2 linked regions of the Oryctolagus cuniculus genome follow. The main gene of each other region encodes a partner of the protein of the gene in region 2 in a complex. Links are inferred from orthologs where the notes say so. Each region holds a gene or a part of one and is shown on either strand. Other genes may lie near its edges. The genes, in order: PA2G4 and ARVCF.

Region 1 (3,805 bases), on a different chromosome or scaffold from region 2:
CATCCACTTGGGGGGTGAACCAATGAAAAAAGGAAGACCTTTCTCTGTCTCTCTCTCACTGTCTAACTTTGCCTGTCAAAAATAAATAAATAAAATAAAAAAATTTTTAAAAAGTATTAAGTGGAAAAATATGAAGTCTAGGTTTCTAATGTAAAGTCAGTGTTTACTCCTTTATACCTGGTGTTTCACCTGTTGAGGGGAGAGAGCACACCCTTAATTTTCCTTTGTGGTACAATCTGATCCTCATCTAAGCTACTAACTCTAAGTCAAATGAGTAATTAATCATAGCTAATATTTATTGAATATTTATGTGCCAGGTCCTGTGAGAAGCACTTTATATGGATCATCTCAATTATTTGAATCCTGAAAGAAGGCACAATTTTATTTTTCCCATTTTACAGATGAGAAAATTTGAATTAACTTCTAAAATAGTAAGAGTTGGCAATATGGTATGGACCCAGACTGATTTCATAGCTACATGCTAGCCACTAAGCAACTACTTTCCTGTAAGATGGACAGTAATCATAATAAAACTAAACATGTGAGGTAACAGAGCACTCAGGTGTTTAGGATGCCTGAGGCCCTGTCCAAAAGGCTGTGTAACAACTTTATGGAATAGGTATCACTGTAAAGAAACTAAGAGGATTAAATAAAAATAATGCAATTAAGTGGTGACAGGGGTTCCACCGTGGCCTGTGGAAGGGAGTCGGATGCTCCCCAGATCTTGGCAAGAGCAGAGCAAGTATTCTGTACTCTTGCCACCTACGATGAGCATGAGAACTCGCCACTCATTGTGTGGCTGCTTCTCCAAGAGTGGAATGAACTAAGAAATTACAATCATAGATGATGGGAGCCCAGATGGAACGAGAGATGTGGCTGAACTGCTGGAGAAGATCTATGGGCCAGACAAAATTCTTCTGAGGTCTCAAGAGAAGTTGGGACTAGGAACTGCATACATTCATGGAATGGAACATGCGATAGGAAATGACACCATCATAATGGATGCTGATCTTTCACACTATCCAAAATTTATTCCTGAATTCATCAGGAAGCGAAAGGAAGGAAATTCTGATATTGTGTCTGGAATTCACTACAAAGGAAAGAGAGGTATATTTGAAAAGAAAAATGATCAGCCATGGGGGCAACTTTATTACTCAGATTTTACTGAGACCAGGAGCATCTGTCTTATCTAACAGGAAGTTTCAGATTATAATGAAAAGAAGTTCTACAAAAATTAATAGAAAAATGTGTTTCTAAAGGCCATATCTTCCAGATGGAGATGACTGTTTGGGCAAGACAGCTGAATTATACTGTTGCTGAAGTTCCATTATCATTTGTGGATTGTGTTTATGGTGAATCCAAGTTGGAAGGAAATGAAAACAGTCTCTTTCTTGGAGACTCTTTTTGCTGCTACATAAAAGAAAAGTTATTTCTTTATGCTTATCAAGTTCATTTCCATTTAAACACGCAAGAAGCCTGATTACTGCTGTCTGTAAAATGTACTCCTAAAGCATCAATGATAAAGTGAATTCCATGCAGATATATTTTCTGGAGAAACTCCAATTTATATTTCAAATTAAATAATTTCAAAGCTCCTGGCTGAATAAGCAATGTTCTCAGTTTTCATTTATGTTTTGTGGTATTAAGACCTATGAATAAATGTATATGGATATTTTTGCATTAAAAAAGTGGTAATAGGAATAAAGTCTAAATTAAAAGTGTGAAGCATGGAAGAACACAGAAAAGGAGAAAAAAGATGCTTTAAATACTGAATGGGCCTCTGGAAATTTAAATTTAGAGAATTGTGTCCACTGACGATCTAAAGTGTATAATTCTGTTAGTCTATGAGAACCTTAGGACTTCTGGGCTTCCTAATTGTCATGCAGAGTCAGCGCTAACTCTGGACCAGCCCACTGGTATCGTCATCTCATTCCTATCTTTTTTTTTTTTAAGATTTATTCTTTTTTTTTACTTGATTTTTTTTTTTTTTGGACAGGCAGAGTGGACAGTGAGAGAGAGAGACAGAAAGAAAGGTCTTCCTTTGCAGTTGGTTCACCCTCCAATGGCCGCCGCGGCTGGCGCACCGCGCTGAGCCAAAGGCAGGAGCCAGGTACTTATCCTGGTCTCCCATGGGGTGCAAGGCCCAAGCACTTGGGACATCCTCCACTGCATTCCCTGGCCACAGCAGAGAGCTGGCCTGGAAGAGGGGCAACCGGGACAGAATCCGGCGCCCCGACCAGGACTAGAACCCAGTGTGCCGGCACCACAAGGTGGAGGATTAGCCAAGTGAGCCGCGACACCGGCCCCATTTTTTTTTTTTTTTTACTTGAAAGGCAATGTTACAGAGCAGGGAGAAAGAGGCAGAGACGGCAAGCTTCTATCTGCTGGTTCACTCCCCAAATGGCTGAGATGGCTAGAGCCAGGCCAATCTGAAGCCAGGAGCCAGGAGCTTCTTCCAGGTCTCCCACATGGGTGCAGGGGCCCAGGACTTGGGCCATCTTCCACTGCTTTCCTAGGCACATTAGCAGGGAGCTGGATTGGAAGTGGAGCAGCCAGGTCTCAAATGGAGCAGATATGGGACGCTGGTGCTGTAGGCAGAGGCTTAACCCACTATACCACAGCACCAGCACCCTATCCTTTTTCTGACTTTTGTTTTATAAAGGCTTTAAAACTGAGTTTGTAAGGTACTTAGCTCAAGTTATTTTGGGGACAGATGCACATACAAAACATGAAAAGAGGGGCAAGCATTTGGTTTAATAGTTAAGATGCTGCATGAGACACCCGCATCTCATTTCAGAGAGCTTGGATTCAAGTCCTGACTCCCTTCCTACTAATGTGCACCCTGGGAGGCAAGGCAGCAGGTGCTGGCTCAGGTCTCAGGGTCCTTATCACCCAAGACTGAATTCCCAGCTTCCAATTTTGGCCTGGCCCAGCCCCAGCTATTGCAGGCACGTGGGGAGTAACCAGTGAACAGTGTTTGTGTGCCTTTCAAATGAATAAGGTAAATACCATGAACAAAGAAAAGAAGGATCTCTACGTGCAGTTAAGGAAGAAACCATCACTCTGTGCACCTAGCACAGATCTGTCTGCTGTTGAGTGTCAAGCGCTTAGTTCCTGCCTCTTCTCTACAAGAATTCCCATCCTAAGACACAGCTTATTTTAAAAGGCTAGTTTTTAAATAGGGGGTGTGGGGGAAGTTGGCAGTTCTGTCCAGAGTGGCTACAGGTACCTAACGCATCTCGGGTTCTCTCTTTAGGGCTGGATAAAACAGCTTACCTGATTTCCAGGTTTGACCAGGCGCAGGGCAGCCTCAGCACAAAGGTGAGCTGCCTTAATGACATCTGCTTTCCGCCCTGTCACTTGGGTCCCCTGTGGATAAGGAAACCCATTCAGAGAAGCTGGCTAACTCAGCCCACCATGTGGGTAATATTTGTGCACCCAAGCCAATGAACATTAAAGAAAAAGTGTTTCTCTAGAGAATTCTGTAGACTCTCCCCAAACATGGTGGTAGGGGATAGGGCTGAGGCAACTGCAGTGCACACATACTCTCGCCCCCTGCAAACGAACCCCAGCTGGAACAGAGTTCAAAAGTAGGCCACCTACCTGAGCTACACCGACCACGAAAGTGTGAGCCACATTCGCGATAAAGCCATCCACATGGACCCCAAGGTCACTGAAAGGCAAGGGCAGAGTACCACATTAGGAATGGCATAGTGCAAGTACTTGGGAAAGAGAAACGCTCTAAAATGGCTTAGCCTTACATTTTTACCAAGTCACCTTCCTTGAGAATATAGTCCTGGTCACT
Region 2 (4,326 bases):
CGCCCCAGGCCAGCAGCATCGCGTGTCCCTGCCTGCCCCCCCCCCACGCCAAGCCCCTAACCACAGACAGCATCTCTGATGCTCCGCCATCTGTCTTAAAAATTCATGCACACATTTTGTTTTCCATGACACCCCCCGTATTTATTGTTTTAATATAGAAATTGCATTTTGAGTTATCGCGGAGAAGCCGCCTCCCGGTGCTGGACCAGGGCCCCTGTGTCCAAGCACGTGCTCCTGTGTGTGTTGTCCGAAGGCAGACAGCACAGGCCTGGCACTCGGGCCTCTGTGGTCCCATGGGTGCTGCCGGGACTCCACCGCCTGCCAAGCTGGCCAGCGTTGGAGGCACGTGGTTATCTCCCTCTGGGTGAACCAAATCAGGCAATGGGAAAGCCAGGGTTTGGCCATCTTCTCACACTGGCCGCTGGCCTCAGAATTCTGGGCCCCCAGCCAGAGTCAGCAGGGGTCTCCTTCCAGGGGAGGTTGGCACTTCCGTGGACCCCAGGGCAGGGAAGCTGCCCCCAGGCCATGCAGGTGAAGGCTGGGCTCGGGCAGCATACAAGGAGGGAAGAAAGTCACCCCATCCACCAGGCCAGCACCACCTGCCACTGCTGGTGGCGGGGGGGGGGGCGGTGTCCTGATCCTATTCCTTTCTGTCCCTTGGTCTTGAGACTCAGTGAGATGTCCATTGCTGCCACCAGGCTTGGCTGAGGGCTCAGGTGGCCTGGCTCCTGCCCTCTTCCAGTCCCCAAACCCCCAACTCACCTGCCTAAGAGGCCCCACCATGCCCACCTGGGGCCCATGGCCAGGTTCATTGCATTAGTTGGCATTAGCTAGTTTGTACACCCAGGCCGCATGTCCCCTGCTGTCTGTCCCTGTGTGCCTTGGCAGTCTGTCTCTCCCACGTCTCTCCCACTCTCCGACCCAGTTCCATTTCCTGGGTGGTGGCCGCCACCTCTCCCAACAGGAGTTTGGTTCTTTGGCTGTGACAGCTCCTCTTCTCATAGCAGTGTCCCTGCAAGGTCACGGGGACAGTTTTGTTTTTGTGACAGGGGCAGGGGAAAGGCGGAGCAGCCGCAGGGGCCTGTGCTGGGCCTCAGTTTCCCCAGCTGTCACAGCAGTATGGTGTCCCTCCCTTCACCCCTGGGGTACGCGCTGGCCCTGACCCTTCCTCCTGGGGTGGGGTGGGAGGCTCTGGCCTGGCAGCTGGCACTGCAGCTCATTGGTTCTCCACAGTGTCCCCACTACACAGTGGGGCTCGGAGTCTTCCTCAGTGGGCGGACATGGAGCACCGAGCCGTGCATACCAGTCTCCAGGCAGTGAGTCCGGATCTGAGCTCTGCCTACTTGCAGGCCTGACCCGAGACAGGGCTGGGGTGGCTCCTGAGATCAGGGTGAGCAGGGCTGGCGCTGTGGCACAGCAGGTTAAAACCCTGGCCTGCAGTGCTGACATCCCTTATGGATGCCGGTTCGAGTCCCGGCCGCTCCACTTCCGATCCAGCTCCCTGCTAATGTGCCTGAGAAAGCAGTGGAAGATGGCCCAAGTCCTTGGGCCCCTGCACCCACTTGGAAGATCTGGAAGAAGTTCCTGGCTCCTGGCAGAAGAAGGCCTGAGAGGTAGTGAGTGCTCATTACGCCAGCCCCCTCCCTTCCCAGTGAGCCGCCCCTCCCCCAATCCTCTGGTTCTGTGGGCCTGGCAGGAAGTAGGGGAGCCTGGGATGAGCCTGGAGCCCTGCAGGGAGTGAGCGGACTGCTTCTGGCCTCGGATTAATGGCTTTTAATTCAGAATTTAATCAATGCGGCTTCCTTCCAGAGGGAGCGATTCTCGTGACGTGCGCTCCGGGCGCCTGGGTGGGCAGGCAGGGGGCCCGTGGTGGGCCCCCATGAGGCCACCACCCACCCCGCCCTGAGCATGCTCTGCTTCTGCCTGCAGCTAGTGCAACCCCAGCCATGGAGGACTACAGCGTGCACTCGGCCGCCAGCATCCTGGCCTCGGTGAAGGAGCAGGAGGCCCGCTTCGAGCGGCTGACGCGGGCGCTGGAGCAGGAGCGGCGCCACGTGGCTCTGCAGCTGGAGCGTGCCCAGCAGCCCGGCGTGGGCCACAGTGGGCAGGCCCTGCCGATGGCCTGGCAACAGCTGGTCCTGCAGGTAACAGCCCAGTGACTCGGGAGGAGGGGGAGAAAAACACTCCAGGGGTCTCAGTAGACCGAGGGCTAGCACACAGTAGGGGTTCTTGCAAGCCCTCCTGAGGTGCTGGGAAGGGGAGAGAGGAGCACCGTGTGAAGAGCGAGTGGGACAAAGCCAGACCCCCAGAATAGGACCCTCCACTGAGGAGCCCCTGGGCCTCGACAGCTGGGCAGGGTATTTGCTGGGTAACTCCTTGGTCAGCCACAACACAGAGGACTTTTGCCTGCCCCAGGATCTCCGGGCCAACAATGTTGTTCTAACCTGCGAATGGGGTGACAGCAGCTCCCCCGTCCCCAGCGCAGGGGTGAGGGACGACAAGCTGTGCAGGGGGAGGCCTGGAGCTGGGTGTGGCTCCTGTGACTGATCAGAGCCAGGGGGTGGCAGCCAGGAGAGGGGGAGGGCCCTCTGGTTCCCACTGCAGCCCCCCACCCCCGCCAGCCAGCTCAGAGGTGAGAAAAGGGAAGTGCCTCTGGGGTTCCCTGGGGGACCTGCCCAGTTCCCACAGCCTGGCTGCCCCGCCTCTTCCCACATCACCCAGCACCTGCCGTGTCCTCCCGGCCCGGTCCTGGGTGCACATGTGAGACTCCAAGCAGCGGCCTCGTTGGGCTTGGGGGTGGGGGGTGCCTGGGCAATGACCGGGGGACCTCGGCTCCCTGATGGCCCATGGAGGAGACCCACTTAAAGCACAGGGCCCAGCACAGGGATGTAGGCGGAGCCAAGTGGGCATCTCAGATTCCCGGCGCCATAGGGGAGCCCTCTTTCCAAACACCTCGCAGCCACCCCTGCGCGCAGCCCCAGCCTCAGTTCTTGGGAGGGTACGTCTTGTTCCACCCAAGGAGGGAAGTGGAATAGTCCCACTAGGCCACATGGGGATAGTGACCCTGAGGCCGCCTGCTGGGCGCCAGGCACACAGTCCAGGCCTCCGGGAGTGGGAACAGGCTCTGCTCTCCAGCACAGGGACGGGCAGTGTGGGAGGTCGGTGCCCTGGTGGAAGGGACAGATGTTCCCACAGCCTGGAGCTGCTCTGCCGGGGGGTCACTGTCCCTTGCCCCCCCCCCCCATCTCGGCCCTCAATCTTCTCAGCCTGGGATGGGAGGACGTGCGTGTTCCCAGGGCCACACCAGGCTGGCCAGGCCCGGAAGCCAAACCTGCCTCCCAGATCAGCCTCAGCCCTGGGGGCCTGGTGCTCTGCTGCAGAGCCACAGGGTCAGAGCCAGGGGCATGAGAAGCTCGGGGCCTTCGGCAGAATCCTGGCCGCCTGCCCAGGCCCTCCAGCTGGTGCAGGACTGACCTCACCCAGTGGGCAGGGGTCCACCAGGGGCCCTGGGGGATGAACAGTTTGTGGGGAAGCTGGGGAGAAGACAGGACCGGCTCCAAGCCTCTGGGCGTGGTTCCCTCCTGCTCAGAGTGACCTGGATGGCTCCACGAGGGGCTGCCGTAAGACGTCTGCAGGCTCAGATGGGCACCCAGGGCTCCTGGGCACGAAACCAGGCCCGCAGAAGGGGGTCCCTGAGGAGGGGAAGCAGGTGGGAGGCAAGATCCATGCCACAGGCTGTAGCTGCTGATCCCAGAAACTGTTTCCTTGTTGGTGACACCAGGGCCATGGGTGGCCCCAGCCCTACCTGCGTTCCCCCAAACAGAGCCAGACTCCCTGGGTGTGGTGCCGGTGGATGCCAGGCTGCAGGGGGCAGCAGTCCTGACTGGTCTCTCTGATCAGCCCCCATTCCTGCCCCCAGCAGGAGGAGACAGGGTCTGGGGCTGGCTCAGAGATGTGCCTCATCTAGGGCCACCTAGTAGCTGTCTGTGCTCTCCTCGGCCCTTGCGCCCCGCCCTGGGTTTGATGCGCTGTGAGGTTGGGGGGAACCTCCTGGCGCTGGGTGGGGACTAGGGCCAGATCCGAGAGAACTTGCAGAGCTGACCGCCGTCCCCATGGCCCACCCAGGAGGGCCGCCATCGCACAGCGAGGGGAAACAGGCGCAGCCGGGGTGGAGTGCCTTGTGCCTGCGGAATGACCTTGTCCCTCGTCCTTGGGGCACACCTCAGTTTCCCCAAGTCTGCGGGCAGAGGGGGCGTGCGTGCTGCTTCACCAGGAGCAAACCGGGGGCCGGGAGGCTCGCTCAGCAAAAGCGACCGCTAGGCGGGA

Evidence for each region.
Region 1: ARVCF (region 2) and PA2G4 share a complex: the UniProt entries of both Homo sapiens proteins name them as parts of the ribonucleoprotein complex. The link is inferred for Oryctolagus cuniculus from reciprocal best matches to the Homo sapiens genes ARVCF and PA2G4.

The regions. Positions count from the first base shown.
Region 1 is NC_091442.1:58,907,415-58,911,219, reverse strand, and holds part of PA2G4 (proliferation-associated protein 2G4), read right to left. Parts: coding exon 3,762-3,805; intron 3,674-3,761; coding exon 3,604-3,673; intron 3,370-3,603; coding exon 3,277-3,369; intron 1,481-3,276; exon of another isoform or gene 711-1,480; intron 1-710. UniProt on the Homo sapiens protein: May play a role in a ERBB3-regulated signal transduction pathway. Seems be involved in growth regulation. Acts a corepressor of the androgen receptor (AR) and is regulated by the ERBB3 ligand neuregulin-1/heregulin (HRG).
Region 2 is NC_091452.1:27,677,433-27,681,758, reverse strand, and holds the start of ARVCF (splicing regulator ARVCF), read left to right. Parts: upstream 1-1,504; 5' UTR 1,505-1,507; coding exon 1,508-1,613; intron 1,614-1,929; coding exon 1,930-2,144; intron 2,145-4,326. UniProt on the Homo sapiens protein: Contributes to the regulation of alternative splicing of pre-mRNAs.